Linked DNA regions of Mus musculus: region 1 is reported to be linked to region 2. Evidence: microRNA targets listed by miRTarBase, many of them from high-throughput screens and not tested one by one. Region 2 holds a microRNA gene; the other region holds the end of a gene's coding sequence.

What was found. The annotated mature microRNA mmu-miR-497a-5p reads CAGCAGCACACUGUGGUUUGUA and lies in region 2 at 6,644-6,665, opposite strand. An mRNA with a match to its seed (bases 2 to 7 or 8) in the 3' UTR can be bound and repressed. Matches are read on the target gene's strand: a 7mer-m8 pairs with bases 2 to 8, a 7mer-A1 pairs with bases 2 to 7 and ends in A, and an 8mer does both.
Region 1: miRTarBase lists Bri3bp as a target of mmu-miR-497a-5p. Seed matches in the 3' UTR shown: 8mer at 8,089-8,096.

What each region holds. Positions count from the first base shown.
Region 1 is chr5:125,448,671-125,464,576 of GRCm38, reverse strand. It overlaps Bri3bp (Bri3 binding protein), which reads right to left. Exons shown (of 3, transcript NM_029752.2): 2 at 12,805-12,907; 3 at 3,692-10,251. The coding sequence ends at 9,824. Gm40325 (a long non-coding RNA gene) reads right to left here and starts at 11. Exons shown (of 2, transcript XR_868516.1): 1 at 1-11.
Region 2 is chr11:70,225,489-70,241,394 of GRCm38, reverse strand. Mir497 (microRNA 497) reads right to left here and starts at 6,678; the gene lies at 6,595-6,678. 0610010K14Rik (RIKEN cDNA 0610010K14 gene) reads left to right here and starts at 3,481. Exons shown (of 6, transcript NM_145758.1): 1 at 3,481-3,611; 2 at 3,770-3,864; 3 at 4,417-4,518; 4 at 5,184-5,371; 5 at 5,595-5,699; 6 at 5,931-6,191. The coding sequence starts at 3,591. The coding sequence ends at 5,935. It overlaps Mir497b (microRNA 497b), which reads left to right and starts at 6,579; the gene lies at 6,579-6,703. Mir195a (microRNA 195a) reads right to left here and starts at 6,353; the gene lies at 6,260-6,353. It also overlaps Bcl6b, Rnasek and Gm40191.

The DNA of each region.
Region 1 (15,906 bases), not on the chromosome of region 2:
GTACTGCCTGCTCTTCCAGAGGTCCGAGTTCAAATCCCAGCAACCACATGGTGGCTCACAACCCTCTGTAATAGGAGCCAATGGCTTCTGGTGTGTCTGAAGACAGCTACAGTGTACTCATATACATGAGATAAATAAATCTAAAAAATAAAATAAAATAAAATAAAAGCCAGGCAGTAGCCGGGCGTGGTGGTGCACGCCTTTAATCCCAGCACTCGGGAGGCAGAGGCAGGCGGATTTCTGAGTTTGAGGCCAGCCTGGTCTACAAAGTGAGCTTCAGGACAGCCAGGGCTATACAGAGAAACCCAGGTGGGGGGGGGGGGAAGCCAGGCAGTGGTGTTGCATGCCTTTAATCCCAGCAATCAGGAGGCAGAGGCAGGCAGATTTCTGAGTTTGAGGCCAGCCTGGTCTACAGAGTGAGTTCCAGGACAGCCAGGGCTACACAGAGAAACCCTGTCTCGAAAAAACAAAATAAAAAAAAGAGAAAAAGATAGAGACAATCCCTTCTTAATAGTGCCTGGTACAAGCTGAGGGAACCACAGGGAGCCTTAGCTGTCACTCAAAGGGGCACAGAGTGACCACTTTTGCTGCCAGCCAGACTTCCTGGAAACCCACTACCTCAGCATCTCTCCCTTCATCTACCTACATTTCCCCCCCCCCATGCAAACAAGAACACTAGAAGTATTCTGCCCACACCAATCAATATTTTCAGACACCATGGCCCATGTCCGGCCATGTACTGACTGGCCTTGGGGACAGTGTGACTCTTGGATTATCACAGGGTGAAGACTCATCTAGATTCTGAAACAAGTACAGAGAGTCCTGCAGGGATGGACGACTGTTCCAAGTTCTAGAAGTCAGACTGCTGGTGATCACTTCAGGCGGTGGGCCCTGCAGCACCACTTACGGAGGGTAGATGAAGAGATGCCTTTGGGTGAGGGGATACTTTTCCGGTCTGGTGGTCCCCCCCCCCCTTTGAGTGCCCAAGGCTCGGAGGGCCACAGAGGGTCACAGGGTAGAGGCTGTGACTGAGGGCTTTTTCTTCTGGTAGAAGGCACTGGCAGCCTGGTGTGTGTGTGTGTGTGTGTGTGTGTGTGTGTGTGCGTGTGCGTGTGTGTGTGTGTGTGTGTGTGTGGTGTGTGTGTAGCAAAGGAGGGGGTTACTTTCCAGGGCTTCAGCTTTCAAGAGCCTCAGGTGTCAGAGCCTTAGCTCCTTGACAGCAACAAGGTTCACAAGTACAAGTCTGAGACTGAGACAGATAGGAGGGACTCATCTCTCCCTGGGGCCCTGGGCAGGTGTTAAGCAATTAGAGAATTGTTTTAAATCATTATTATTGTGGCGGTGCATGCGTTTTATCACAAACTCAGGAAGCTGAGTTTGAGGCCAGCCAAGGCTACACTGAGATCCTGTCTCAAAATATAAAAACCGGTATTACTGTTCATGGTAAGTTGTTTATAAGCACTCCTGATATTAATTCTGTTTATTTCTTCTTTGACAATTTCATGCACATGTACATGATGTATTTTTTAAATTTACTTATTTTATTATATGAGTACACTTTTAGCTATCTTCAGACCCACCAGAAGAAGAGGCACCAGATCCCATTACAGATGGTTGTGAGCCACCATGTGGTTGCTGGGAATTGAACTCAGGACCTCTGGAAGAGCAGCCAGTGCTCTTAACCGCTGAGCCATCTCTCCAGCCCATAATGTACTTTTATTATATTCACTTCCCAAGCATGTGCGGGTAAGTAGGTGGGTTCGTGTGTACCATAGTCCACATGTAGTGGTCAGAAAGACAAACTTAGGGGAGTCAGTTCTCTCCTCCTACAATGTGGGTCCCAGGGATCAAACTCAGGGCGTCAACTCGTTGGCAGGCACCTTAACCTCATCTCACTGGCCCCATTTGTTTCCAAGGTAGGGTCTCATGTAACCCAAGGGAGTAAGGAGGCAAGAAGGCAGAAAATTAGAGACCGTAGGCTCGGGTTAACTGGAAGTGTTGCAGAAATCGGGCAAGCCTTCAGGGCCAAGGGTGTGACCCCAAGGTCTAACCTTATAACGCTGGTAACTGGTAATGCGAGGCAGAGGTTACGAGCTAAAGTATCCCAACTTCCCACAGGAGAGCTGGAAGCACTGGCCACTGAAAAGAACTTCAGACTCTTCCTACCTGGTAGGTCTGGTACAAAGCCAGGCATACCCGAAGACTGAAAAATCTCAACTACCTAGGAGCACGCTAGCTCCGGGAGCACACGCTGGTTAAGGGTACAAACACTGATCCCTGCAGCGCTAGAGGGCACCATCTGCCTGCTGTCACTACTTGTTGAAGCCAAAGGCTGGCAGAAGCCAGGGCTCCAGGCTTCCTCCGCTGCCCACCACGGCCACCACCACGCCCCCCAGAATTTTTAGCAACCAGAGGTTTGGATCTTAATGCTTACTAGCTTCCACAAGGACCACAGTGTGTCTTCATAGCTTCACAGCCGGAACCTTATCTTTGCCCCTGTGGTTTCTACCCCAACCTCTCTCTGCAACTCTTCAGCAGTACTTTGTTGCTATCTGTGCATGTGAGCAAACCACACACACATTCACGCACACACCCCATACTAAATACAAATTTTTTAAAACTTTAAAAACACACAGATACACAAAATAATAACTTAAAACTGGACTGGAGAGATGGCTCAGCAGTTAAGAACACTTACTGCTCACAAACATCTACAACTCCAGCTCCCAGGGATCTGATTCCCCCTCAAGATTTTGTTTGTTTGTTTGGTTTGGGTTGGGTTTTTTTGTTTTGTTTTGTTTTGTTTTTCGAGACAGGGTTTCTGTGTATAGCCCTGGCTGTCCTGGAACTCACTTTGTAGACCAGGCTGGCCTTGAACTCAGAAATCCACCTGCCTCTGCCTCCCAAGTGCTGGGATTAAAGGCATGCGCCACCACACCCGGCTTTTTTGGTTTTCGAGACAGGGTTTCTCTGTATAGCCCTGGCTGTCCTGGAACTCACTTTATAGACCAGGCTGGCCTCAAACTCAGAAAGCTGCTTGCCTCTGTCTCCCAAGTGCTGAGATTAAAAAAGTGTGCCACCTGCCCAGCCCTCGTCTGGGTTCTTGGCAATCAATTACAAACACATAAAAACATAATTAGCCGGGCGGTGGTGGCGCACGCCTTTGATCCCAGCACTTGGGAGGCAGAGGCAGGCGGATTTCTGAGTTCGAGGCCAGCCTGGTCTACAAAGTGAGTTCCAGGACAGCCAGGGCTATACACGGAAACCCTGTCTCGAAAACAAACAAACAAACAAACAAAAATAATAATAATAATTTTTAAAATAGCCAGGAGTAGCGCTTCATTTCATTAATCCGAGAACTTGGGAAGCAGAGGCAGATGGGTCGCTGTGAATTCAAGATTACCTTGTTCTACATAGTGAGTCCCAGAACAATCAGAGTTACATAGTCAGAGTCTGTCTCAAAAATAAAATAAATAAATATAAATGATGGGGCTGAAGAGATAGCTCAGTGGTTAAGAGCACTGGCTGCTTTTGCAGAGAACCCCAAGTTCTCAGCACCCACACAGTATCTCTCTGTCATCTGTAACTCCATCTTCAGGAGATCCAATGTCCTCTTCTGGGCTCTGAAGTCATTGCATGTATATGGTGCCATCACATATGCAGACAAAACACTCATACACATACAGATAACTTAATCTTTTTTTAAGATTTATTTATTTATTATATGCAAGTACACTGTAGCTGTCTTCAGACACTCCAGAAGAGGGCACCAGACCTCATTACGGGGGTTGGGGGGTGGGGTGGTTGCAAGCCACCATGTGGCTGCTAGGATTTGAACTAGGGACCTTCAGAAGAGCAGTCAGTGCTCTTAACCGCTGAGCCACCTCTCCAGCCCTTTTTTTTTTTTTTAAATTAATCTTTAGTGCAGGAGAGATGGCTCAATATTTAAAAGCACTTGCTATTCATGTAGATGACCCGGGTTCACTTCCCAGCACCCATATGGCGGCTCATAAACATCTGTAACTCCGTTTCCAGGGACTCTGACCATCAAGGGCACCAGGGACACACAAAGTATACATACACTCACGCAGGCCAAGCAGTCATACACATTAAGATAAAGAAATAAACCAAAGCCATAAAATGACTCTCTAATTCTGGAGGTTGCCTCAAGTGCCTCACCAAAGTAAAGAAATCCATCCAGGAGTCTGAACATCACCACAGTAAACATTTATTAAGCCGCAATGTTCACAATATTTTAATCCAATTCTTAAAGTCGATCTACAAAGACCTCTAACATCAAGCCAGTGATTAATAAATAAGAGGAATGTATCCATCACTTTGCAAAAAAATACTAAGCCTGACGCTTTTTTTTCCCTATATAAGATATTCGTAGAATCAGCTTCCCAATTAATGTTTGCGCATGTGCGTGTGTGCACACACCCCACTATGTTCACACGGAATGGCTTTCTTTCTACTGTGTCAAACTAAATACTATTTAAAATTTCCTAAGCTGAGACACAAAACAGAAACTCAACTGTGAAGAAGTCATTGGTGTTTTTTTTTTTTAATCTGCAGCTAAAAACAGGGAAATAATTACCTCTTGGGGGATTTAACTGCACATTGATCACTGTCACTAGAAATTAATTTAATTACAGGATATTTAGAGATTTATCACAGATGCAGACAGGAAACTGACACAACAGCATAAGCTTGAAATCCGCAGAGACATCGGGCGGAGAGTCGGGCATGCCACTGGCTGCCGTAGCTGTCCCGGTGGCAGCAACAATGTGCTGTTTGTGCCATCAGGACTGAAAGACAGGTTCTCCGTGTCTGTCCTAGCTATGGAAGGACCACCAAAGAGCAAAACACAGAAGGAAGCAAAAAGGCCGAAGCTTGCTGATGCCAGCCAGTGACAAGGGTATTGGGTTAAAACCCGCAAAATAGAAATCTACAATTCACAGGTGAGGAGCCCAAAGCCCAAGTACATAAATGGTCAAACTCAAAAACATTACAGAATTATCACAGGTTGCTTTGAAAGCAGCTTTCATGCTGGGGGCAGAGCTCAGGAGCCCAGGACTTGAAGGTAAAGAGGCTGAGAGGGTCGCCTTGGAAATTCCTTGTAGCTCCAGGTGCGCACCAGGCTCACCAATGCTGGCTTTCTGGGCATGGTGGTGCACAACTTTAAGCCTGGTACTTGGGAGGCAGAGGCGAGCAGATCTCTAGGTTCGAGGCCAGCCTGGGCTAGATTGAGACCCTGTCTCAGAACAGACCAAAGCAACAGGGCTTGTGAAGAAGGGAAGTGCTTCAGGCTGCCTACCAAGCACAAGATGCAGAGGAGCTTTGTTAAAGATTCTCGTGCTGACTCTTGAACATGTTGGGTTAGTTTGCTGAGACAGGGTCTTGCCACGTAGACCAGGATGGCTTTGAACTCAGCACCTTCCTATCTATCTGGAGACTGAGTCCTGGGTTTGCAAAGCACATCGGGCTTCCTGGTCACGCTGTTTCCGAGCCATCTGTGAGCAGGCCGGAGTGACAGGACCACGTGAGCAAGCAGAGCTCTTCACACACAGGGCCCTTGAGTGTGCCAGGGCCATAGGACAATGCTCCCAACCTTCCCTCAGAGGTTCTCATGAGGTCCCTAGGAAAGACATGCCTTCCTGGTTGCTTATTCACAGCTCTGCTCCTAACCCCCTGTGGCCTGCTGAGCCTCATCCCCAGGCTGCCTCTTAGGCTCGTCCCTGGGTCACTTTTATGAATTAGAGGACCCTATCATGGGTCAAAAGGCCAGCTGTGAGGACATTCTTTTCCACACTTATTGCCAGTAGAAAGAGGGTCGAGCCTCAACAAAGGGCCCAAAGGGTGGGGGATGCTAGCAACAACAGGAAGTGAGTCTGTGAAAGGTGTCTGTGTGCTATACCAACAGCCTCCTGACTAGAAAAGGGAAGAGACCACTATACAAACACTGACTACAGGCTGGGACCGGGCTAATTTGGTAGAACGCTTATGTAAAATGTAGGAGGCCCGGGGTTCCATCCCGAGCAGATGTGTTAGCATCTGTCTCTAATCCTAGCATCCAGAAGGATCGAGATCAGGAGTTCAAGGTCCTTCTCCACCACATAGCCTGTTCGAGACCAGTCAGGAGTCCAAGAGATGCCATCTCTAAAACCCCGAACCATAGGGCCAGAGAGGCTGCTCAGTGGTTAGAGCACACCGGCTGTTCTTCCAAACAACCTGGGTTTGACTTTTTCAGCATCCACAAGGCAGCTGACAGTTATCACTAATTCCAGGGCGATCTGACACCCTCTTCTCCTCTCTGCAGGCACCAGGCAAATACGTGGTACACAGACATACAAGTGTGACAAAAACAAAAAAAACAAAAACAAAAAAAAAACCACCCATATACATAAAATAATTCAAAATAAAACACCACCATCAAAAATCACCAACCCCAATACCCTAAGCTAAGCCCAGTCAGTACACTTCAGAGGCAACCAGTCCTGTCCTCGGTAAAGCAAGTACCTAATATGAGAGACGACCACCAGGGAGTTAATACTGACTTTGAGACAGTTATAATCCTTACACTATCTTTTCATTTAAAAAAAAAAAAGTATATATGTATTTATTGGGGCCAAGGGGTGGGAAGCCACAGCCCATGCGTAGAGGTTAGAAGGAAACCTGTGGGAGTGGTCTGTCTTTTTTCACCATGTTGGTCCCGGGAATCAAACTCAGGTTTGGTGGCAAGTGCCTTTCTTCATTGAGCCATATCGCCTGCCCCGCCCCTTATCTATAATAGATCCACAGTGGCTGCTGTCCAAATGTTTATCATGTTATTCGGTTAAGGAGGAGTTGTACACAGCCCTGAAGATAAGGCATGAAATAAGGTACAAAAATACATCTTTCCACATACAAAAGAGATAGGGGGAGGGGGAAGGGAAGGGAGGCCAATAAGCTGTCCACGGAATGAAAGAAGAAAAGAAAAAAATCTTTAACTACTGGGGGCTATGATTACTTCCAAACAATGCCAGGCATGGTGGTGCAACACCTTTAATACCAGCAATCAGAGGCAGGTGGATCTCTGCAAGTTAGAGGGCAGCCTGGTTTACACAGAGAGTTGCAGGACAGCCAGGGCTATGTAGAGAGACCCTGCCTCAAAAAGAAAAACAAACAAACAAACAAACAAACAAACAAGCTAAAATATATGCATCAAACACAGTAACACCATCTGAAGTTTTTTTGTTTTGTTTTGTTTTATTTTTTTTTGTTTTTTGTTTTTTTGATTTTCGAGACAGGGTTTCTCTGTGTAGCCCTGGCTGTCCTGGAACTCACTCTGTAGACCAGGCTGGCCTCGAACTCAGAAATCCGCCTGCCTCTGCCTCCAGAGTGCTGGGATTAAAGGCGTGCGCCACCACGCCCGGTTGAAGTTTTTAAAAACAAAAAAACTACTAGAATTTCAAGTAACATTCTACTCTGATTTGTACATTCTTCCACTAAGAATGAAGGTATCCAGGACTGGACTCTTGAGTGCTCTCTTAACATGCATAGGCCGCGTTCACCCCAAGGCGTTCGAACAATGGGGGCGTAGTCACATGTGCACATCATTCCTGCACTCGGGCTGGGGGCAGGAGAGTTTAAGGCCAGTCTCAGCTACTTAGCAAGTTCAAGGCCAGTCTTAAATACATGAGACCCTGTCTCAAAAAATCATAATAACTAGATGTAAAAATTAAAATGAAGGCATCTTGTGTATGTATATATATAGTGTATATATACAAATAATACATGAATATATATAGCATATATATGTATATACACATTATATATATTCAACTATAAAACTGGCTTTAGAGTCTACATTTGGTCAGACTGGAAAAAAATATTGCAGATTTTTACCTTTTTTGTTGCTATTGTTTTGAGACAAGGTCTCAGTGTATTAAAACTGCCTGTCCTGGAACTCACTACATAGACCAGACTGGCTTTAAACTCCGATGTGCCTGCCTCTGCTCTCTTGTGCTACCATACCTGGCTTTTGGTCTCGCTATGTAACCCTGGCTGACCTGAAATAGACCACTTAAGACCTGGCTGGCCTTCAAATAGCAGCAATCCTCCTGCCTCTGCCTCCTGAATACTGGGTGGAGTTGCAGTCTTAGCTACAGTGGACTGTATAGGAATCGACCTACAACATCTCAAGTGGCCACTGAGAGGAGCCAAGGCAAGAAGGTTTAGCTTTACAGAGAGTGACTGCCCCCTAGCCAACATCTGAAAAGTAATCTTTTAGTATGATATGACCAGACATCTGGAAGGAAAGATATTAACAGCCAAGGTGCCCCTTCTCGGCTACTTCCACCCTGTGCCGCGAGTAGATATGCCTAGAGCATCTAAACAACAAAATCGGAATGTTTCACATCACAAGTTGTGGATTTCCAATGTCTGTGGAGAGATTTCCCCAGTACCGGTTCCAGAAGGGAATGAAATTCAAGAAAATGAGAGTCCCATACTGCCTGTCACCTCGAGAACAGAGGTCTCTCTCGGCCACATCCTCAAAGACCCAAATCTGTGTGACAGATACCTGTAACCAAAGACAGAACTTCACAGACATACGGCACCAGAGCTGCCATCAGCTGGGTCCCCCTCCAAGCTCAAGTTGGGACTCAGTGGCTCCACAGTCCTCACGGGCGACCCTAGTGACATCCCACAAAAGCCAGCTCTCTTTCCACAGAAGCTGGCAGAGAGGTCTCTGCACCCAGGGGTTTAGCTATTAACAAGCAATGCCCTGGACCCCAGACTTTAAAAAGCACCTAACACAATTATAAAAATTTCAGGACAAACGATTCAGATCTCAAGGTTGCTTATGCCTACGAATGTTCTAGAAGGAATGAAATAAAGGATGTTACTGGCCGTGAACGGTTCCTTTTTCTTCTATGGTCCCGAGTCAATTAGAAGCAAAGGAAACAAGTGATTCCCATGAGGGTCCAGCCGGCTATCTGGGCCTCGCTGGCCAACAGGGAATGTGAGATTCAGCTGGATTCTGGAATGATCTTCGGGGCCTACCCGGTTCTTAGCATCAAACTCCAAAGACAGTTTGCAGCTCCATCCATGTCCTTTCTTCCTGGAAAGGCTAGGGTTAATCTACATTGAAGTCCAGAGAAGAGAAAGAGATCTCGGGACGTCTGTGGGTACCTTCATTCAGAAATACAATGGACAAGGGTGGGGGGGTGGGCTCAGTATCCCCAGCACCATACAAAACAGAAATAGACATGGAGGGGCACAATGGACGAAGAGCTCACAGGATCCCTAGGATCCAATCCTCTGAAGCCCAAGTGTCCACAAGAACAAGAGACAGCACTTGTTAACCAGGTCACCACCAACCCCAGAAGACACGAAATAAAGGTCACATTCGGGAAGACGAAGAGATTGCACACGGTGCTCACCCACAAGCCAATTTTAACCTCCTTAAGGACGTCAAGCGTTCCCTTCAAAGCTCTGATAAACTTGACTCCATCTGCCTTTATTTAAAAACCTTACAAAAGATGTATTTAAATGTTTGGGAAGAAAAATCAACATTATGTTCTATGCACAGGTAAAGTTATCCGACTACACAGCTAACAGGGGGTATATCCGTTGTTTAAAAACTGCTTTCCCACTGGTGATCTACGAAAGTGCTCTCTCCTCCAGTGGCTCCTAAGGTCGACACACAGTGGGAAATACCAGGCGTGGCGTTTTTGCTCAGTTTATTGGGAGGGTTGGGATTTGGTGGGGTTGCCGGCTCTTCTCTTCTTCTTCTGTCTTTTGACATCACTAGCTGGTTGGACGGCTAGGCAGCTGACCTTCACTTGTCCTTGGAGCGGTCAAGGTTCTCGAGCACCCTGTTGAGGCGGATGTTAAGCAACCTCACCTGGTTCTCCAGGTGTTCCAGCTTCTCCTCCACACTGGGGCTGCAAAGGCCACCGGGGCTGCCCCGCCAGTAGCCCATGGGCCCCGTCATGAAGTAGATGGCCACCACGACGCAGAGCGGTAGCACTGCGTGCTCTGGCTCGCCCTCGTACTTATGTAGGATATACACGCAGGACATGGAGAACAGGATGACACGCACGAGCCAGAAGAAGCGGCCAAACACCAGGTGGAGGAGGCTGAAGGTGAAGCCCAAGGTCAGAGACAAGAACCAGTAGGCCAGGAGAACCACACCAACCAGCACCAGGGCCCGGGTGGGGCTGTTGGACACTGAGGCTGGGCTGAAGTACTGTGACAGGTTGGACACTGCAAAAGAGGACAGGGCCAGTTATTCCCACGTGGTCGGGACCTTCTCGGAAAGCAGGAAGGACAGCTGAGCTCTGGGGCCGGACCCATAGGCTCCGGTCACAACCCGACACAACGAAAGCAAAATAAAGCAAATACTTGAGGGGCACAGGTGGTCTCTCAGGACTATTAGTATCCTCATGAGTTGAGAACACCTTTTATGGCTGGGTAGTAGTGGCACACACTTGGGAGGCAGAGGAAGGCGGATTTCTGAGTTCCAGGCCAGCCTGGTCTACAGAGTGAGTTCCAGGACAGCCAGGGCTACACAGAGAAACCCTGTCTCGAACCCCTCCCCCCCCCCCCCCACACACACAAAAACACCTTTTATGGGACTGGAGAAATGACTCAGTGGTTAAAAGCACTGGCTGCTCTTGCAAGGACCTAGTTTGAGTCCCAACAACCATCTGTAACTCCAGAGACAGGGCAATGTCAGACAGACCCTTAGGTTCTGCATACATGAAGTGCACAGATGTATGAAACACCCATAACACATAAAAACAAATAATAAATAAACCTAGAAAAATATTTTTACAAGCTGGGCAGTGGTAGCTCACACCTTTAACCTGGCACTCATGAGGCAGAGGCAGATGGACGTCAGTGAGTTCAAGGCCAGCCTGATCTCCAGATGAGTTCCAGGACAGTCAGGGCTACACACAGAGACCCATTTTTATAAAAATGGTGCTGGAGTTCAAACTCCTCATTTTACAAGGAGCTACCCTCAGACTGCTTACAGTGGCTCACATCTGTCATCCCAGCACTCAGGAAGCTGAGGCAGGAGGATCAGATGTTCAAGGCCATCCTTGGTTCCACCATAGTGAATTTGAGGCTAGTGTGGGGTACAGGAGACCCTGTCTCAAAGACAAAGCAAAATAACAACCACACACACACACACACACACACATGACCAAAAAAAAAAAAAAAGCAGCAAAACAGAAATAGTAAAATTGATTTCACCAACTTTGAGATGAGATGGGGAGTCCTCACATAGACCAGGCTGGCCTTGAATTCACAGAGATCTGCCTGCCTCTGAGTATGGGGGTTAAAGGCATGAGCCACCATGCCAGGGTAAATTTCACCAATTTCTTTTCCCTATAACTAGACCAGTAGAGTGCCTCTATATACCTCAAAGCTTACTGCTATCAAACCAATCTGAGCAGAGGGGTCTCCATTGTAACTAACATTCTGAAAACTGATGGGGAAGAAAATACTGGGAGCTGAGAGCAGCCACCTTGAAGACGACCCTGGTTCTGAGCTTCAGTCACGGTTCCCAAAGGCCTTCGGTGCCCTGCAGCTTATTCAAACCAAGAGGGAGACTCACAGCACAGAAACAAGGCATCAGGGGATAGCACCCGGCCAAGTCTCCTCAGTGATGCCCAGGGTCCTGTGTTACCCCGCTCTGCTGTCTCCCAGACCCCACTGCATGCAATTCCTTGCAATCTGCTTTATCTCCACAGGCTCACTGCCCAGGGATGGTAACCCGGAGTTGCACAATCCCAGCAGGTCATGGCTGAGGCAGCCAGCCCTGGCAGGATTGCATGCAGTTGCAACGTTTGGGTATATGTTGACTCAGCCCAGTCCCCAGGGTGGGCCGCGTGCCTCACAGCATTCTGAGGGCCACCTCTCTACTTCCTGAGTGGCAAGGTGACACGACCTGATGTGAGGCCTTTCGAAGGTTAGACTCGGTGAGTGGAGGCTGGAAGTGGGGTGAGGGGTAAAGAGCAGACCATTGTGGTGGTATGTGGGTCCCGGCTGGTGCAGTCTGACTCCACCATGAGCCCGGGTCCTAGAACCGTAAAGAAGGATGCCTGGGGCTAACGGATTTTGAGAGGATCCTGTTACGTCACTATATCTGTTTTCTGGCTTTGCCACAACTGAGCCCCATACACCAGGTATCTGATGAACCTTAGATGGTGAGGTTCATCCCCTCTCCGGGTTCCAGGAGCCAAAAGGCCAAGTCCACGGCTGTGCTCCCAAAGTGACTTTCCTCTCTACTGACTCTACCTCTGGCATGCTGAAACACACAGCCCTGCATACAGCATACCTGTGTGAGGACTCTCGGGAGCCTCTTCTGCCCTCTTCTGGCTTCCAGAGGCTCCAGGTGGCCCAGGTCACCATCACTGCAGGCTCTACCTCCATTGTCTGCACAGTATTTTTTGGGGGGTGAGATGGGGGGGTGGGTTCAAGAGAGGGTTGTTTAATAGCCCTGGCTATTCTGAACCTCACTCTGTAGACCAGGCTGGCCTCCAACTCACAGAGATCCGCCTGTCTCTGCCTCCCAAGTGCTGGGTTTGAAGGTGTGCGCCACCACCGGGTACCCACACAGCTTTTGAAGTTTCACAGACCACAGGTTCAGCTCTTAAAAGTAAAATGCTCCTTCCTCCCCATGGTGCTCCATACCCTCAGCCCTCTGGTGTTCTCTCAGCTAAGGACACGGAGACTCCCCACATAGTGAGACAGCCCCCCAAAACAAAAGCTCGCAACCCAAACACCTTGCACAACCATCCCCGTACCTACCGTCAAGCCCAAGGACTTCTAAGAGCTCCATCCAAACTTTCCATAACGTCTCTAAGAACATGTCCACTCCCTGCACGAACCGCTCGGTCAGCCTGGACAGTAACTGCAGAGACGAGAAGACAGTAAGGAATCAACCAATCAATCCACTGTCCTCCCAAAAGCCACTCAGGTACTGAAGTGTGAGCTCGGGAGAGGACTGGACAGGAAAACCAGGAGCTGCCTTGGGGACAGTCTGTAGCCAAGTGACGAACAAGGGTTGATAGCTGGTCCACCACCATGGAGAATGCGGAAAGCCCGTGTCTGTCTGTCTGTCTGTCTGTCTGTCTGTCTGTCTGTCTGTCTCTCTCTCTCTCTCTCTCTCTCTCTCTCTCACACACACACACACACACACACACACACACACACACACACACACACACACCACAATCTGGCTGCACTGCACCTACCACTTCCCCTAGAGTTCTGCTGGCTCTTGGTCAGGGTATCTGGGAGTGTGTGCTCTCAAGATGCTTCCTTGGCCAGTTGGCTCTCAAAGGACCAACTGACTGGGAAGCCCGAGACCGTGCTCTCTGTCTATGGCTCTCCAGGGGATTTGGGAAAGCCAGGAGACCAGGAAATCGGGAGTTCGAGCTCCTGCCTCATCTCTTGTTCTCTTTTGAGTGAGTAATCCTGCTGGCTAGTTTCCTGTCAACTTGGCATAGCTGATATCATCAGAGAGGGACCCTCAATGGAGAAAAATGCCTCCAGAAGATCAGGTTTGTAGGCAAGCCTGTAAAGCGATTTTCTTAATTAGTGATTGATGTGGGCGGGCCCAGCCCACTGTGGGTGGTGCCATCCCTAGGTTGGTGGACCTAGGTTCTGTAAGAAAGCAGGCTGAGCAAGCCATGGAAAGCAAGCCAGTTAAGTGGCACCCCTCCATGGCCCCTGTTCCTGTCTCCAGGTTCCTGCCCTGACTTACTTCAATAATGAATATGAAAGCACGAGTCAAATAACCCCTTTCCACAGCAACCCTAACAGTGATATTATACACACGTAGCCTACAACTCGAAACCAGGGCTGAGATGTAAGTTTTCCTAGCAACTCATGACATCCTGAGTTCAGCTCCCACCATTACAAAAACGGGGCAGCTCAAACTGCCTGCAACCCCAGTTCCAGGGGACTCTGATGCCTTCTTCTTGTATTTGTATACTTAAGCACACACACACACACACACACACACACACACACACAATTCAGTAAAACTAATCTTAAAAAAGAAAAACACGAAAAGCTAGCATAGTGGTGTTCTCACTTTCAATTCCAATGCTCTGGGGACAGAGGCAGGTAGACTCTGACAGTTCAAAGCCAGCCTGATCTACATGTCCATAGTGAGTTCTGGGACAAACAAAACTTGTACATTGAGACTCATGTTACACACACACACACACACACACACACAGAGAGAGAGAGAGAGAGAGAGAGAGAGAGAGAGAGAGAGAACAAATAGAAAAAAATCACAAGGAAGGATGGAGCTAGAGCAGCAGGCTAGGCAGCAGAACAGGCTTTGATGGCACCAAAGCCCAGGAAGTAGTGTGCAGTTCTTTTAGGGTAAGCTACATTCTGAGCCATGCTGGACCTTGGTTTTCCCAGTTGGAAAATGGGACCCAGAGAGGATTCAACAAAGGAAGGTGAAAAGGCTCATTCCTGCCTGCAACCCCAGTTCCTGGGGACTCTGATGCCTTCTTCTGTCCTCTGTTATTTGTGCACACAAGCACACACACTCACCATTTAATAAAACTAATCTTAAAAAAGAAAAACAGGAAAAGCCAGCATAATGGTTTTTGTGGTAGGTCACCTGGTCCAGTCAGCAGTGAGTGACAGGGTAACAAGGCTCCTGGGAGGGCAAATCCAGACCAGAGGTTCTTCCCTCAGGCTGTGAACTGGACAAGAGTGGGGAGGACACGCCAGGGGAGGTCCCCACCCCTTCAGCCACATGCAGATCTCTCCGGCAAAGCTAGACCCATAGACTTCATAGAATTGATAGGGTTCAGCTGTATTCTAAATATGAAGCCCCTGGTCCCCAGTGATGGAATGTTCAAAGACAGGGTCTTTAAAGAAGTGAGCTGGTAAAGGCTTGTGTCAGTGGGACAGGCTTGTCTCCCAGCTACTCAGGAGACTGAGGCAGGGGATGTGTGAAGCGGGCAGGGGGAAGGGTATTGGGGGGAGGTGTCTCTGCCTACACCAGGGCTGGCGGAGTGAAGATCCAATGAATGATCCCAGGATCCACAAGAGGCAAGGAAGGAAACCTGATTCAGCACGACTCAGCAGCGGGGGTTGATTCAACCATCTAGAGTCTGTCTGACATCACAAAGTTTATTTTAGGCATAGTTAAGTACAGTACAATTTGGGGAAAAAAAAAAAAAAAAACAAAACGGGTTCCTGGTGGAACACAATCCTAGGTGTTCAAGGAGGCATGACAATTACACCAAAACTATTCTCAAAGTACGTGTCGCTTCTTCTATGAAGATGGGCTTTATAGATAGGCTTTACCTTCACGTGTTTGCGCTTTTGAGACAGGGTTTCTCTGCAGACCAGGCTAGCCTTGAAACTCCCAGAGATCGACCTGCCTCTGGTGAGCTATTATTTTCTTAATGGCCGAGGGGAGGATCTGCTGTGGTCTCCGTCATACATACAGCCCAGAGGTCATCTGGGCTATCAACCACCTCTGGTCCTGTTTGTGGGAGCCTGGGGAAAGCCCTGGCCATATAGACAATGCAGAGACCATCTAGACTATTGGGCACCTCTAATCCTGGCTGTGGTAGCTTGTGGGGAACCAGGTATCGCCTGGCCTCTACACCTTACCAACCTCCATTGCCAGCCCTCTGGGCAGAAAACAGGTTATAAAAAAAAAAAGAACATGTGTGTTTAACATGCCTGGTTTCCCCAGTGCTTATCTGTGAGCGCAAGGACCTTTGTGTTCACAAACAGGCAGGAAGACAACAAGTTCCAAACCTGCTTTGGGCTAAAGAACGATCAGTCTGAGGCCATCCAGGAGGTGTTAGTGAGATCCCGGGCTCAAAATAGAAAACAGTTGGTGGTGTAGCTCAGTGGTAGAATTGCCTA
Region 2 (15,906 bases):
CCCTTGTTCCCAGCCCGTGTTTCCAGCTCACGTACACCCAGTGACAACCATGTGCCTCACAAGTTCTCTTCCCCAACCATGTTAAGAACAATATCTACAAAATACACAGAAAAAAAAATGGCACAAGATTCAAGTCCATGAGCGTGTTCCTGTTTGGTGCTGGGGGCTTGAGATTAAAATGCATTCTCTCAATTGTTCTGTGGCTGCCGTCATTAGGATGGGCACACCAATCTCAGTGCAAAATTCTTTTTCATCACTGGCCCTAAGCTGGAACCCCAGCCCTGGAGGGGAGGGAGAGCTCTCTAAACATCTCCAATTACCGCCAATACTTACTACAAATGTTTCTTACTAGTGGAGTTACCAAATTTCTCCGGTGGAGAGGAAGGCCTAGTCTTATTTTTACATTTATGGGGCTTTGAATGAGAATGGTCCCATAGGATCATGTAGGTGAATGCTTGCTCAACAGCAGTGGAACCCTTTGAAAGGATTGCAAGGGCTAGGAAGTGTGGCCTTGTTGGAGGAAGTGTGTCACTTTTTTGAGGTTTCAAACACCTATGACAGTCAGTCCTGCTCCCACCCCCCACCCCCAAATCAGGATCTAGTTCTCAGCTACTGCCCCAGACCATACTGTGTATGCTGCCACGCTCCCCCCACCATGAATAATGGAGTAAATTTCTGAAACTTTAAGCACGCCCCCAGCTAAATCCTTTGTTTTGTTAAGAGTTGCCGTGATCATGGCGTTTCCTGACAACACTGGAACAGTGGCCAAGTCACAGCTTGTGTCTTGTCTTACTCAAAGAAGCAGCAGGAATATTTCTGTTTATTTTCTCCTTTCTCCAGTACACTTAGCAAGGCCGCTTTCCTTCGTGCGTCCAATGAGTCTGCCTTTCCTAGTCCCTTATTTTTCCTGAATGTAGCATTTACAACGATACTGCATTTCAAGTGAAGCATTTGCAGGATCAAGAAGTCAACTATTTAAAAGCGTCCCTCAAAGCAGGATGCTTAGCCTCAGGAGGGGACTCTTCTATTTTCTTTTCAAAGTGTCAAAGCATCTTTCAAAAGGGAGACCTGGATAGAAGCGATAGGCCGGCACATCGAATCTCCAGGACTCGCTTACCGGTTTTCCCATCACAGAAGACCACCCAAGACTAAGAAGGTATGTAAGGATCCAGACGGCCCCAAGCTTCTTGTCCTGACATAACAATCCTAACACAATTCAACTCAATTGTGGACTCCTTCCTGACACCAGGTTACAGCTGGTTCCTGGTCATGTGATCCAACAAAGTAGGTCACGTGAGAAGCCTGCTCCTTCCATTCCAAGCCGGGGTAGGCGACAAGTGATAACACTCAGGCCCTAGCGTCTGCACCACTCAACACTTCTGCCACTCGGTTCAAGCAAGACTTGTAGAGTTTCTGCTTCTGTTTCCGACACCGTGTCTCCTCTCCCCAAGCTTGGCCCACCACGCGTCACAGCGTTATCTTCTGAAAGTCACCCCTCAGAGTGGTCGGCGCCCGAGGCCACGCCCCCCCCCCCCCCCCCCCGTCGCTCTGCGCCGCGCAAGTCCCCAAATCCAGCTCCTGTCCTAGCATTTCCAGGGTTCCCTCTCCCGGCTTCTGTGCTCCGCTCAGTCTCCAGCGATCCCTCCCTACCTCCGCCCTCCATGGCGTCGCTCCTGTGCTGTGGGCCTAAGCTGGCCGCCTGTGGCATCGTCCTCAGCGCCTGGGGAGTGATCATGTTGGTGAGGGGACTAACCCGCGAACGGGTCTGAGGGGTTCTGGGGTTGAAGGGCTGGGACACGAGGAACCGCAAGCCTTAGGAAGCAGCAGACTGATTAAGGGGCTGACTAAATAGCCGCTGGAAAACGAGACGGAACTCAGATCCAGACAACTGGGGAACTGGAGCGAAAGGGTGCTGGGGCAGGACCCTGGGAATGGGAGCCAGCTCGGGCAAATTTGCGGACTCCCCAAGGTAAACAAGAGCGAGGTCCCTGAGACTTGCGTGAGTTGAATGGAGGCGAGGGTGAAGTGTGCTTGCCCCCGAAAACGGTAGCTGAGGCCTTGCTTCCCCAGGGCCCTCAAGGCCGCCACTTCCAGAAATATGAAGTGTTTCATCTCCATCTGCTCCCATGATAATGACGCGCCTCGGAGAGCTGTTTGCCATATACCTCCCTATACCCAGTCACTCTTCCCAAGGTCCTACCTCACGCCCTGTTCCACATGGCTGAGTCCGAATCCAGATACAACCACCAGATACAACTAGCCCTTTCTAGTTCATCTCTGGCGCAAGTGTTGGGCCAACATTAGACAGGGGAGGAGCCTAGGGAGCGACCAAAGAAGTAAGGTAAGAATTTGACAACCTATCTATTCCTTACTCTTCCAGATAATGCTCGGGATATTTTTCAATGTCCATTCTGCTGTGTTAATTGAGGACGTTCCCTTCACAGAGAAAGATTTTGAGTAAGTGGTCGGGTACTTGGGCGAGTTGGGCGTGGATGAGGAGTAGCATGGTTTGGGTTTATGGGGAGGACACTTCTGAAGACTGGACATTTGTGGCCCTAGGTTGGGGACTTCAAGAAGAGGGCTGCTCTCTACAAAGTAGTTGGGTGGCAGCACGCAGGGTCCTAGTTTCAATCCCCAGCGCGAGAGACAGAGACACAGAAAGGCATGTACTTAGGAGCAGTCTTGCAAGCCACGTTTCCATGGCTACCCAAGCCCACCAGCTTAGATGTGGCCTCTTCCAATATTTTGCCTTCCTGCTCCTTGGTCTACCTCTGTAAAATGGTTACCATGATAGAATTCATTTGGTATGCTTCTTGGGAAGACTAATAGGAGTTAAAGTGCTTTAGCATGGTGTCTGATGCATAGAACTTGCATATTGGATGCTCTGAATGGCTGACATTTCCCTGCTCGCTCGCCACCTTCAGGAACGGTCCTCAGAACATATACAACCTGTACGAGCAAGTCAGCTACAACTGTTTCATCGCCGCGGGCCTCTACCTCCTCCTCGGAGGCTTCTCCTTCTGCCAAGTTCGTCTCAACAAGCGCAAGGAATACATGGTGCGCTAGAGCGCGGTCCGCCTCTCCCTCCCCAGCCCCCTTCTCTATTTAAAGACTCCGCAGACTCCGTCCCACTCATCTGGCGTCCTTTGGGACTTGTGACCCTAGCGAGACGTCATCCCTGGCCCTGCAAAACTGCGCCCAGCCTCTGGAGGAGACCGAGGGTGACCGCGCCCCGTTCTGAACTACAATAAAAAGAAGCGGTTCCCCCTAAGCTTGCTGTCTGTGCTTTCAGGGAGGGGCGGGCCCGGGCTGGAAGGGGCTGAGACCGGCCTCATCGAGGAGTCCGGACCCTCCGACGGAAGTGGAATGAAGCTAGCCGGAAGTGAAGCAACGTCTTCCACCTCGTCTTCCTCCGCGCGGCGAGGCCCCTTGAGTGACTGGGGAGAGGTCGGGTCTCGGCCAATCAGCTGCAGGGAGGGCGGGACTTCCTGCGCGGGAGCCCGAGCGGCCGGCTGCCGGGCTCTCCGTGGTTTCCAGCTCGCGTGGTGGTGGTGGCGGCGGAGCGTCTCCGTGAGGAGGTGCGCGGGGCCATGACGTCAGCGTCCACCAAGGTTCGACCTCCCTCGCGGACTGCGCTCCCTGGCGGCCACGGGAGGGTGGGCCCCCTGCCTGGCTCCCGGCTGGTGCGCGCTGGGCGGGGGGCGGGCGGATCCGAGGCTGGGGTGGGACGGCGCGCTGCCGGCCCCCCGTAATGCTGCTCCGCCCCCAGGTTGGAGAGATCTTCTCCGCGGCCGGCGCCGCCTTCACGAAGCTCGGGGAGTTGACGATGCAGCTGCATCCAGTCTCGGACTCTTCCCCTGCCGGGTACGTGAGACCAGCCTAGGACCTGGACTCCGAGATCAGACGCTTGGACTCAAGTCACAGACACGACCCTCTCTAGAGCAGGGAGATAGAGTAATTCCCCTGTGCCTGGCCCAGCTCAGTGTAGGTGGTAATTGTTGAATTAGTGGATGACAGGTAAAGAGACTACCGAGGCCACAGCCCTCCACTGCAAACCGACAGAATGTCTGCCACCTACCCCAAGCCCTGTGGACTCCCTCAAACTGCTGCCACACATCTTTCAAGGGTTGTGTTTGTAAGGCCCCTACTTGTTTCATTGGTTTCCGTTGGGTTGTTTATGGAAGCTGTTACATGATGAAGTGATGTTTTCAAGTGGCCCTGGATGTAATTTCATGTGGCCAGCGATTTGTCCCCAGGGCTTTTTTTTTTTTAAAAGGAGGTCCTTTTTATGAATCTTTGAAAGGTGCCCCTAGAGACTAGGGGGAAGAGGCTGCTGGCTGTGGACGGAATAGCCTGTGGGCTGGTTCCACACATCCCTCTTCCACTTTTGTTATCACCCTTCTCCCCTTCCGACAGTGCCAAGTGGACGGAGACGGAGATAGAGATGCTGAGGGCTGCTGTGAAGCGCTTTGGGGACGATCTTAATCACATCAGCTGTGTCATCAAGGAACGGACAGTGTGAGGGAGGGTGGCTGGCAGAGAAAGGGGAGGGTGGGCAACTTTCTTCCTCCTGACCCATTGTTCTCTCTCAGAACTCCCAGCTCAGCATCTTTCCTACTTTGTTCCTAGTTTTGTTAGCATTTCCTTGAAGACTGAGAGACTGTCACTGTGGCAGTTGGTCGGAAGATCAGGAAATGCAGTGGTCACTAGGGCCTGCAGAGAACTTTATTTTCATGGTGCCCAGATACTCAGTGGTTGTGTTTGATGATAAGAGTTCCCTAGCTATTTATGTAAATCCTTTGAAACTGGCATGTCCAGGGGATGCATTCTGAACTAATTAGTTGGTCAGGTTCTATGACAGTCTCAGTCTACCTTTATGTCACCACAACATACCTGGTGGTCCTACAAAACCATGCATCTCTCCCAGAGGATCATGAAAAGGGCCTTTCTGGCCACTCAGTTCAGGGACTCCATTCATCTTAATCTATTAGCCCTAAGTGGATGCAAAAGTTCTGAACGTGGGGGGGGGGGGGAGGACCCTTATTACACATGAACTGGGGCCTTGACCTGGATATCTACAAAGGAACTCCTAGAATTCCTTCAGAGTGGCCCATTATTCCCTCCCCTCCCCTCTTCCCTCGGCTTCTCTGATGACACCCTAATCTGCTCTCTCTCATCTTCAGGGCTCAGATAAAGACCACTGTGAAGCGAAAAGTGTATGAAGACTCCGGCATCCCCCTTCCAGCTGAGTCACCCAAGAAAGGACCCAAGAAGATGACGTCCGGTGTCCTCTCACCTCCAAACGCCCCTCCACCCAGCAGCTCCAGTGTCCCTGAAGCTGGGGTTCCTCCCATAAAGAAACAGAAGGCTGGTGAGGGCTGTGGAGTTGCTGCCTAGGGTAGGGGTTAAAGGTCCTATCTGAGATTCAATAAGAGAATTGGGCCTGGGTCAAAGAAGGAGAGACGCTTCTCTTCTGTACGCTGGTGATTCCAGAGTGGGTAGAGGGATGTGTAGAGCATGAAGCTTTGGCAGACTGGGAGGAGGGAAAGACAGCAGTCAGGGAAACCTAGAACTTAGCCTATGCCCCCTCCCAGATGTGACACTCAGTGCTCTGAACGACTCCGACGCCAACAGTGACCTGGTGGATGTCGAAGGGCTAGGAGAAACTCCTCCAGCCAAGAAACTCAACTTTGACCAGGGTAGGAGTCCTCCTCCTCCCACGCTGGCTGGGGGTGGGGAACATACTCACCTGGATGGTAGGGGAGGGTCCCCACAGAAAACCCCTTTCTGGTGCAGGGGCCTCAGAAGGAAGATTCAGTGCAGGGGAATGGGTCAGTTAGTAATACGGCGTTTGAGGAGGTGAGGGTTTTCTTGGAAAAATCCTCCACGCTTGCTCCATCTCTGTCCGTTTTCCTTCCTGTTCCAGACAGCCTGACCCTGGACTCTGGCCTCCTCACCACCTCCGCTGATGCTCCTCTCCTCTCCTGCTGAGCCTTCCACCTCTGACCCTCATTGTTCACCCTGGACCTGTGGATCACCTGGGACTCTAAGCAAGGACTGCCTGAGAGAGGGTCAGAGGGCTGCTGGAGCCATCCACCTCGTTCCTGATAACCATGTGCCCTCGCCCTTTGACTTCTGTGTGATGGACATTTTTATACAGAAAATTATAATTAAAAAAGATTCTCTCAACATGGTGCTGCCAGCTGCCGTTCCCTCTCCTCTGCTTCGCCCTCGGGGCTTGGCCCCTTCTCAGTAGCTCTCACCACCCTGCCTGGAGCAGCACAGCCAATATTGGCAGACTCACTTCCCCATGCCAATATTTCTGTGCTGCTAGAGCCAGGAGAGTTGGGTGTGGGCAACAAAGACTCTACTTTGCTCTGTGGGGCCAGAACTCATTACCAGGGTTCCTGATAACTGGTATCAGACAACCTGGGGGTTGCAGAGGGGCTCTTTCCAGTGTCTCCTGTCCCACCTTGCAAGAACTTCATCACAATACCCTAGACGGTGTGTGTGTGTGTGTGTGTGTGTGTGTGTGTGTGTGTGTGTTGCTTCTCCAGGGTGGCCTCCCAGGGCCAGGCTCATCGGTGCCTCCCATACCCTCGCTCTAACACCACAGTGTGGTTTGGACGTGGCCACAGTGCCGTACAAACCACAGTGTGCTGCTGGGGCGGGGGCAGGACTGGGGTGGGTCGAGAGGAAGACAGCACAGGCAGTGCCGTGAAGACCCCCACCTAGAGTGAGACAGAGGTGTGAATGGCAAACATGGCCCCCCAAAAAAGCTGGGGGGGGGGAACAATCAGGAACCAGCAAAAGTAGTTTAGCAGGCAAAGGATAGGGCCCTGGCAGATGAGTCCAATGTGATAAGCTTGGAGCATTCTTCACCTCTGTAGGAATTCAGCTCTGGGGATCCTTAGGAAACGGGATGACTGGGGAAGACCAACAAACTGCCTCCCACAAAGGCAGGGACCTAAGGTTTCCTGTGTCCATTCCTCCCTCCCTAGGTCAGAACCCAAGAGAAATGCTGGAAGACACAGGGCCAAGGACAGCAGGGTTGGGAGTTGGCAGTCCAGAGGTGGTGGGGCTGGAACACGGTTGAGAGAGGGGGGCCGGAAGTCGCCCTGGGCCCTGGGCCTGCCACAAGATGGAGGCCAAAGGCAGGAAATGGAGGCCAGGGAGAAAGGGATGCAGCAGAGCCCAGGAAGAGGCTCATCTGGACCAGAGGGCAAAGTATTCAACCCCAAGTGCTGCTTCCATTCCCCATGGTCCCCCAAGACCCACGCCCCACCCACACAGCAACACTCATTAGCCCATTCACCAGGCCCAGGCAAGCAGGCCCACCCCTGAGAGCCACGTTTAAGCAAAGACAAACATGCCTTTTCCCCACCCCCAACCCTAGGCCTTCCCATAGCCCTTTCCTCCTGTCCAAGACTTGATTTTAAAAAGAACCTCCCAGAAGGCAAAAGTTTCTTCTGGAAATTTCAAAACAAAACAAAACTCTGTAAACCCTAGATATTAACCTCCCATATCTCATCCCACCTTTTAGCACCACCAGGCTTCCGACACACCCCCCCAAAACTCTTAGCAATCAAAAGATTTAAGATGGTGTGTGAAGCAATCTTTTTAGGCCCCCCTAGTATGCCAGACCCTCTCCAAGACTACCAGATCACCTATATCAAGCCCTGCCAACGCCTCCTGCTCCTTGCACCCTCCTGGACCCCCAGAAACAACTGCTGTCCCCCAGCTCCCATCCCAGCAAAGCTTTTGTGGGGCTAAAAAAAAAAAAAAGCAAACACTGTCCTAATGTCTGTAGGAATATTGGGGGCTCTCAAGTCTCAAGCTTTGGTTTCAGTATGAGGTGCTACGTCTTAGGGGTACAAGAGAAAGCTTCTCTGGTCATCCCCCCAATTTCAAGAGTTACAAGGCGCAACCCCACCCCAGCACGCACCTCCAAACCTCCCCCCCAACCGCCACGTCTCTCCTGAAAACAGGGGACACTTTCCTCCCCACTTACCTCAGCTACTCTCCCCTGAGATCCTGGTCCCCTATTTTGAAAGGAGCAAATTTTGGGGTGCATCCCTCACATTTGGGGTGCAGGAGAAAAGAGACGCCCCAGTCGCATCGCTGGCCTCCTTCCTCTCAGCTGGCTCAAGGACTGGGGAGTGCCCTGGGGTGGGGGACCCCCACAAGAGAGCTCTGGAGGGGTTCCTCCACTCCCAGTCAGAACTGGGGACACCCCCCCAAAACCCGTCCCAGCCCATCCGTCTCCAACTCGGCGGGAGAGGCAGCTGCATTGCCCCAGTCAGATTCCCCCAACACTACATTCCTCACCCCATCTAGAGGGATCCCGGGGCCCCCAAAAAATCCCAAAAAAATCTAGGATGTTGGGAAGATGGTCCTGAACTAGCTACCCAAATTTGGGGTCCTTAGATACCCCCGTTTTTTCAGGAAAATTCTGTCTTTCTCCTGCCTCCCGCCAGCCCTGCTCTGTCCCGATGCCAATTTTGGAAGTCACTCCCTCCTTCCTCCTCCCCGTTTCTCCAGGCCCCCCCGCTTGGGGGCTAGGGTCCAGGACACCTGGTTTCCAGACCGGGGGACACTCTTTAGAAGGCTAGGGGCCAAGAGGTCAAGCTCATTGCCCCTGTCTCAAGGAAGCAGGAAAGCCCGATCCTCCCCTCCCCTCCCCTCCCCCCTGGCTGGTCTCGGTGGTGGTTTAGGAAAGCCTGGAGGACTGGAATCTGCCATTGCTATTGCACAGGCAGTTTTTTTTTCCTTGAGTTGGGGGGGTGGGCGGTGGGAGGGAGAGAGGGGAGGAGAGCCGAAGAGAGCAGGGACCTAGGCGGGAATATCTGGCCTGGCTTACCCTCTAGCCCCTGCTGCCGTTGGAAACCCCTCCCCCGCCTCTCAGTTCACCCTCATTCCCAATCCTCTGTCTGCTTTCTCTTTGGGGCTCTTATCTTAAAATATCAGGGTGCAAGATTCACCCCCCCCTTGTAGACCATCACAGCCTTTCCTTGCCAGTTTCAGCAGCACTGTTAGTCAGAAAGTACCCACTTTAACAAGAGACACCCCATCTCCTCCAAACGGATTTTTTCTTCCATAAGAAATCGGGGTTCAGAGTATGAAGCCACCTTTCCCCCCTTAGCACAACAGGTCATATTCCAGTGAGTCTATGATGGACCACACTGCTTTTTCCAGGCTTCACCCTTCAAATTCTGGCCTTATTTGGGGGTTCACTAATTTTTTTTACAATCTGGGGTGCCAGGGGACTATCAGCAAAAGATAACCTAAGTCAGAAGTGTGCTTTAGAATAGGTGAACCTCCAAATCAATTTCAATTTATGACCCACCTCTCAGCTTCACCAAATGTGGCCAGTGGCAAAACACCCAGAAACTGGATACCCCCCAAACTATCCTTCTACCCTGGGGGGGCTTCTCAATTCTCTCCTGTGGAGGAGTTTCACACATAAACATGTTCACAGGAATATCCAACCCTCAAAATGAGTTTCCACAAGATTCAAATACAAAACTTTGCCCCCCCATCAATCAAGCTCTCAGCTACAGAAAGCCTTCAGATCCTCTCCTAGCTTCTGGCTCTGCCACCAACTCAATGTAACTGGGCTCTCTAAAAAGCCCCAAGTTGACCTTTATGTCCCCAAACAATCTCATCCAAACCTTGAAACAGCACTTGGAAAGAGACTATGTCCCCCAAATTAGTTGCGTACTCATGCTCCCCCAGTAGACCAGAAATTAGAGATGGACAGTCTCACATGGGAGCATCAAATCCCTCCAAACCCCCGAACTAAGACATCTTTAAAACCAGCCCCGCACCTCCAATTTGCTATCAGCTGTCGAGACTAAAAACAGGCCTTATTGACTACAATAACTTCTATGGCAAGTGACACCCCAAAACTCAGAATAGCTAACTCTGTCCTGACATCAAAGCCCTTAATGTTTTCACCTCAAATTTGGAGATGAAAATTGGATAGAGACCAAATAATCTTCACAAAGTAAAGCCACATCGTCATCCAGGGTCCCTAGCTATCCCCAACCCCCAGTTGGTTTGCAGTTTTGTTTGCTACGTTTGCTTAAAAAAAAAAAAAATCAAAACCAATAAAACAAACAAAATGTACTCCACCCCCAAGAACAGAAGGGAGAGGCCTCAGGCCTAGATATGCTGGTCCATTCTTGCACAACTGCTATGCTCCAAACCCCAAACTCAAAGAGCTCCTGCTTTGTACCTGGGTTCAGCTCTGCCCCTCTTCTTCAAAGGAAACTTGTCCTTCTATCCCAAGGCTCCCCAAACAAAATCTAAGGGTGTGGTCCCTGCCTAGCTTCTGAATGAAGTACTTAGCTACCAGGTTCCTCCTGCCCTTTCTCCTCTGTCCTCTCTGTTTACTCCGACCAATGCTCATATTAATGTTCATTGAAAATTCCTGTCTACAAACATCTGGGTAGAAGGGTCTATCAAATTAGAAAACAAAACAACTGTGTTCCCAGGCTCAAGACCCCATCTCATCCTAACCACTATGTTCATTCCAAAGCCTTCCATAAGAGTTCTAGCCTGAATTTCCTGCGGAGACCCTAACTCTTCTGTCTTCGATCTACTGCCCCACAAAGAGACAGAGGTGCAGAGGAAACTATCAGAAAGAGAAGGCAGCTGAAAGTTTCCTGTAGCCTGGACCGAATGCATCCAGCTCACTGGTCTGAGCACATCACCAGCCAGGAGACCTAGGGGCGAAGCGAGGCTGGTGCTCGACCGCCCTCTCGTGGAAGGATGCAGACATTGCCGAGCTTTGCCTACTTGCCGCGCTGGACCCCGGCGTCCCGCCAGACTCTAAGCGCAGCCGACGGGCGGGTGCTCGAAGCCCTAGTAAGCTAGGACTGATGGAGAGCGTCAGGGCTTTAGGCGGGAGTCTGTATCTCTGGATCCCTATAAGGGTTGAGAAGAGAGTCGAGAGTAGGAGGCCGGACGCCTAGGTCTCCCGAGCGTCTCTCGGTCCCCACCCGGGGTTTTCCCCACCTCCTCGAGGGGAAGCAGCTGCAGGAGCCGTCCGGTCTCAGGACAATGGAAGGAAACGAACTAGAAATCATATCCGCCCTCTCCTTACCCCGCCTGGTCAGAGCTCCACCTCCCCCTTTTCTGGACCTTGCCTGTCAATCACTCCTCCTTCTCCCACTATCTGAGATCCACTGGAGTCCACTAATGCCTCCCCAAACCCGATACCACTTGGACTGTCTATTTTCTTCCTGAGTCCAATACATTAGAAAGAGGAGTTTTAGGATATTTCCTTTCTCCCTCAACTGGCTGTTGGCACACGCCTCCAAAACCCAACACTCCAATACTCGCTGTCCCAGCTCCTTCGACGACATAAGCCTCCCATATTACCACCCTCCGCACCACTAACCTCCCCAATTCTAATATCCTCATCCTCGGGTGCTTATTTAATGAACCAAAGCCATCCACGATACGACCACCCCGAGATTCTGAGATACAGTTTGAAACGGAGACCCCGCCCCGGGCTCACCATCTGGAGAGCCTCAGAGGAAGGAAGGATACAGACTCACGGGTTCACCCCACCTCCACCCCCGCCCCCGCCATCCCGGCTGAATAAAGGAGCAGAGACCGAAAGAGGAGAGAGACCCCGCCCCCCTCGAGAAGAGAAGCCGCAGCCCCTGCGGGACAGGGGTAAGAACCAAACCCTGAGGGTATCAGATTTCTGAGTCTCCAAAGAGGGCTTGGGGTTAGTTGATAGTAATAAGACCTGAACCCCAGGAACTGTGCTAAGAAGAGATGGAAAGTATTGGGTCTAGCGATAGGAGTCGCGTAGATGGGTGTGGGCTGCAGATCATATTTGGTCCCCCAGGTAAAGTCTGGTACCTGTGACCCAGGCGCCCGGGGAGCAGAGGAAAGGAAGGTAGTGGATGAGGTAACTAGAGTCGAACCAACGCACGGCGCGCGGGAGTGCGGGATTCCTCACGCTCGCCCTCCAAGCGGTGGAACGAGAGTTTCTAACTTGCTCCAAGATCTCCGCGATCCAGCAAAGGGAAGGAAGGAAGCAACCGTTTAGGGCAGAATGAACGAGAGGAATTAAGTGGTGATGCTGAGTCCGCTATCTGATGGCGTTGGTTGGCTCTAGGGGTATCCCAGGTAGAAAACATCAGAGAAGAAAGGAATCTGTTTTAGTAATGCCTAGATCCTCTAACTTTTTCGGTGGCTGTCGCAGGCTTAGGTCGCTATGGGTTCCACAGCGGCCCCAGAGGGAGCTCTGGGCTACGTCCGAGAGTTCACCCGCCACTCCTCCGACGTGCTTAGCAATCTGAATGAGCTGCGCCTGCGCGGGATCCTCACTGACGTCACGCTGCTGGTTGGCGGGCAACCCCTAAGAGCGCACAAGGCAGTTCTTATCGCTTGCAGGTTCGAGGGGGTAGGGCACCTGGGGACTAACTGGGGAAAAAACAGAGTAACATGGCTGTTGAGAGGTAATCCAAAGCATGAGGGAAGCTGGGAATAATGGTCCACACCGGCAATCCCAGAACTGGAGAGTAAGAAGGGGGGAGGAAGGAAGAAGGGAGGGGGAAGCTTGGGAGAGCATCCAAAAATTGAGGCAGCAGTGCTAGTGGGGAGGCAAGACTCTCCTTTGGTCTCCCGGCTCCTAACATGACCAACCCATCTGCCCTCTCTCCAGTGGCTTCTTCTATTCAATTTTCCGGGGCCGAGCGGGACTCGGGGTGGATGTACTCTCTCTGCCGGGGGGGCCAGAAGCCAGAGGCTTTGCTCCTCTTCTGGACTTCATGTATACTTCAAGGCTTCGCCTCTCTCCAGCCACTGCCCCAGCTGTCCTCGCAGCTGCCACCTATTTGCAGATGGAACACGTAGTCCAGGCGTGTCACCGTTTCATCCAAGCCAGGTAAAGGAACCATGGATTTGTATTCTCCCTAGCAGAACTAGTGCCGGGAATAAGGGCAAAGGCAACGACTAGGAGACGGTGTTAATGATCATCCTACTTTTTCTAGCTATGAACCTCTAGGCATCTCCTTGCGACCTGTGGAGGTAGAACCCCCAAGACCCCCAACAGTCGCTCCACCAGGCAGTCCCAGGCGCTCAGAAGGACACCCAGACCCACCTACTGAGTCTCGAAGCTGCAGTCAAGGTTCCCCAAGTCCAGCCAGCCCAGACCCCAAGGCCTGCAACTGGAAAAAATACAAATTTATTGTGCTAAATTCTCAGACCTCACAAGCAGGAAGCCTGGTTGGGGAGAGTTCAGGTCAACCTTGTCCCCAGGCCAGGCTCCCTAGTGGAGATGAAGCCTGTAGCAGCAGCAGCAGCAGTGAAGAAGGAACCACGCCTGGTCTCCAAAGCAGGTATAGAATCTATAACTCCCAAGAGTTTTAGAGTCTGGTCCACTCTAGGAGGCAGAGCCATTGAGTAGGCCATTGTGGCACCCTCTGAACCAGGTTTCAGGGATACTAACCCAGCTTAGGGAGTTGGCCAAAGGCCAAAGGTGGGACTTAATGATCAATATTGGCTCACTTCCAGAAGACAGGCCTTGAAGTCTGTATATTCCAGAAAAGGGGCAGGGCGGGGGGAGCCAGTGCCCCACCCCCAATCCCTAACCTTTTCTATGGCTCTTAACTTCTGCCTAGACTATCTCTAGCTACTACCACTGCACGATTCAAGTGTGGAGCTCTAGCAAATAACTCCTACCTCTTCACACCCCGGGCTCAAGAGACTTCTCTGCCAGCTTCTAAGCAGGCTAATCCACCGCCAGGTAAGAGGCTTTCTCTTCTGGCTTCTCTCCTGTAGCTGATCCAGGTCGATTTGGACCAAAAAGACCTCAGAATAGACCTATTGAATAGTCCCAAACTTGACTGCATTGGACCCCCTCTGGGTAACGTTCACCCCAGCAGTCAGAATGTCTGAGGGTGAGGACCAATCATAAATATTTTTAAGCTCTCTATGTACTTCCAAAAAGCAGCACAGTTTGGGAATTTCTGGCCCACCCAATCCAAGACTGAACGATCTGCCCAGAGTTTGGCAGGGCCTCTCTGGCAAGCCAGAAGGAGGCAAGAAAGGAAAGAAACAGAAAGCTCCACCCACTCCACACACTGTCAGCACCATTGAAATTAGCAGCATGCTACTAAATCAGTCGTATCTTACTGACTGACTGGCCACGAACAAGCCAAGTGACCGCCAGTAGCCTCCACAATAATTTAGGGGTTAAAAGGGCCAGCAGACCCTACTAGTGTACTGTTGTAGATTTATGGGTACCTGGGGGGAGTCCTCAGTAAATAACTAAGATTGTCATTGTTCCCTACCCTTAGGAAGTGAGTTTTTCAGCTGCCAGAACTGTGAGGCTGTGGCTGGGTGCTCATCGGGGCTGGAGCTCTTAGCTCCAGGGGACGAGGACAAGCCCTATAAATGCCAGCTGTGCCGATCTGCCTTCCGTTATAAGGGCAACTTGGCTAGTCACCGCACGGTGCACACAGGTAGGAGGGGGTCTTGGTCTTCCTGACCACCGCTCCCGTAGGGCGATCTGACTGTCTTCCAACTTGCAGGGGAAAAGCCCTACCGCTGCTCCATCTGCGGAGCACGTTTTAACCGACCTGCTAACCTAAAAACACACAGCCGCATCCATTCCGGAGAGAAACCGTACAAGTGTGAGACCTGCGGCTCGCGTTTTGTTCAGGTAAGGAGAAGGCTGGAAGGCAAATGGGAGGAGCGAAGAGGGTTCCGCCCCTCCCCAAGGTGATCTCAAGGCTCTGCCCTTTAGGTGGCACACCTACGCGCACACGTGCTCATCCACACCGGAGAGAAGCCCTATCCGTGTCCCACCTGCGGAACCCGCTTCCGCCATCTACAGACCCTCAAAAGCCACGTTCGCATCCACACCGGGGAGAAGCCATACCACGTGGGTACCCTATACAGCCTAATAATGGAATTATCCCTCGTATACGCAGGGACGAGTCTTGCCAGAAGTGCTAGGAATAAGCGACAGCCTAAAGAGCCCTAGTGAATCAGAGGCTTGCACCCGGGAGAAGGGGTGGAGGTAATTATGTGCCTGGACTAGGTGCTGTTGTCCCAAGGACCTAACAGTTGTTGATGCTTTTGTTAAGAAAGGCAAGGCCTATCTCCTGGGCGCCCCCAGAGGACATAGAAAGGCTGATTGTCAGCGGAGAGCTAGACAGTTCCCGAGTCCTAAATGAAAGGTGGTTATGGAAAGGTTGGGACCTGACAGACCTGTCCTCCCACAGTGTGACCCCTGCGGCCTGCATTTTCGGCACAAGAGTCAACTGCGGCTGCATCTGCGTCAGAAACACGGGGCAGCTACCAACACTAAAGTGCGCTACCACATCCTCGGGGGACCATAGCTGAGTTCCCCCCCACCCCCAGCCAAACTTCGCTCCCTAGGGGCAGTGAAAGCTGTAGGCTCAGGCTTGATTTCCCTGATGGTCCTGATATGGGGGTGTGCCGGGTTACCCTGGTATTAGAAACTGCTGACACCTTAATTTTGTACTGGGGAAGAGCGGGAGGTGGCAGATCCTGGCTAGATCTGCCTCTGTTTTGCTGGTCAAAACCTCTTCCTCATAATCCAGATTGGGTAGCTAGGGGCTTGGGGGGTTGGGGGGGACTTGCTCTCTTTAAGGGAACTTCCCCCTCCATTTCAAATGGTTTATCTGTAAATATAATTTATTGAGGCCTGTAGTTGGTACCAGGGCCTTTATTCTGTTTGCATTTCCGACTTTCTTCTTCCACAAGTGTGATCAAAAAAGACTGGAAACACAGAAGGGGAGGGCACCACTCTGCTGGCAGAGATACCTAGTGCTTGGCTCTCTCCTTTGGCTTGAGTGTCTTACATTGTTTTGTTTTGTTTTTTCCCCCCCCTTTTCCTTTCTAACTTTTCTTTCT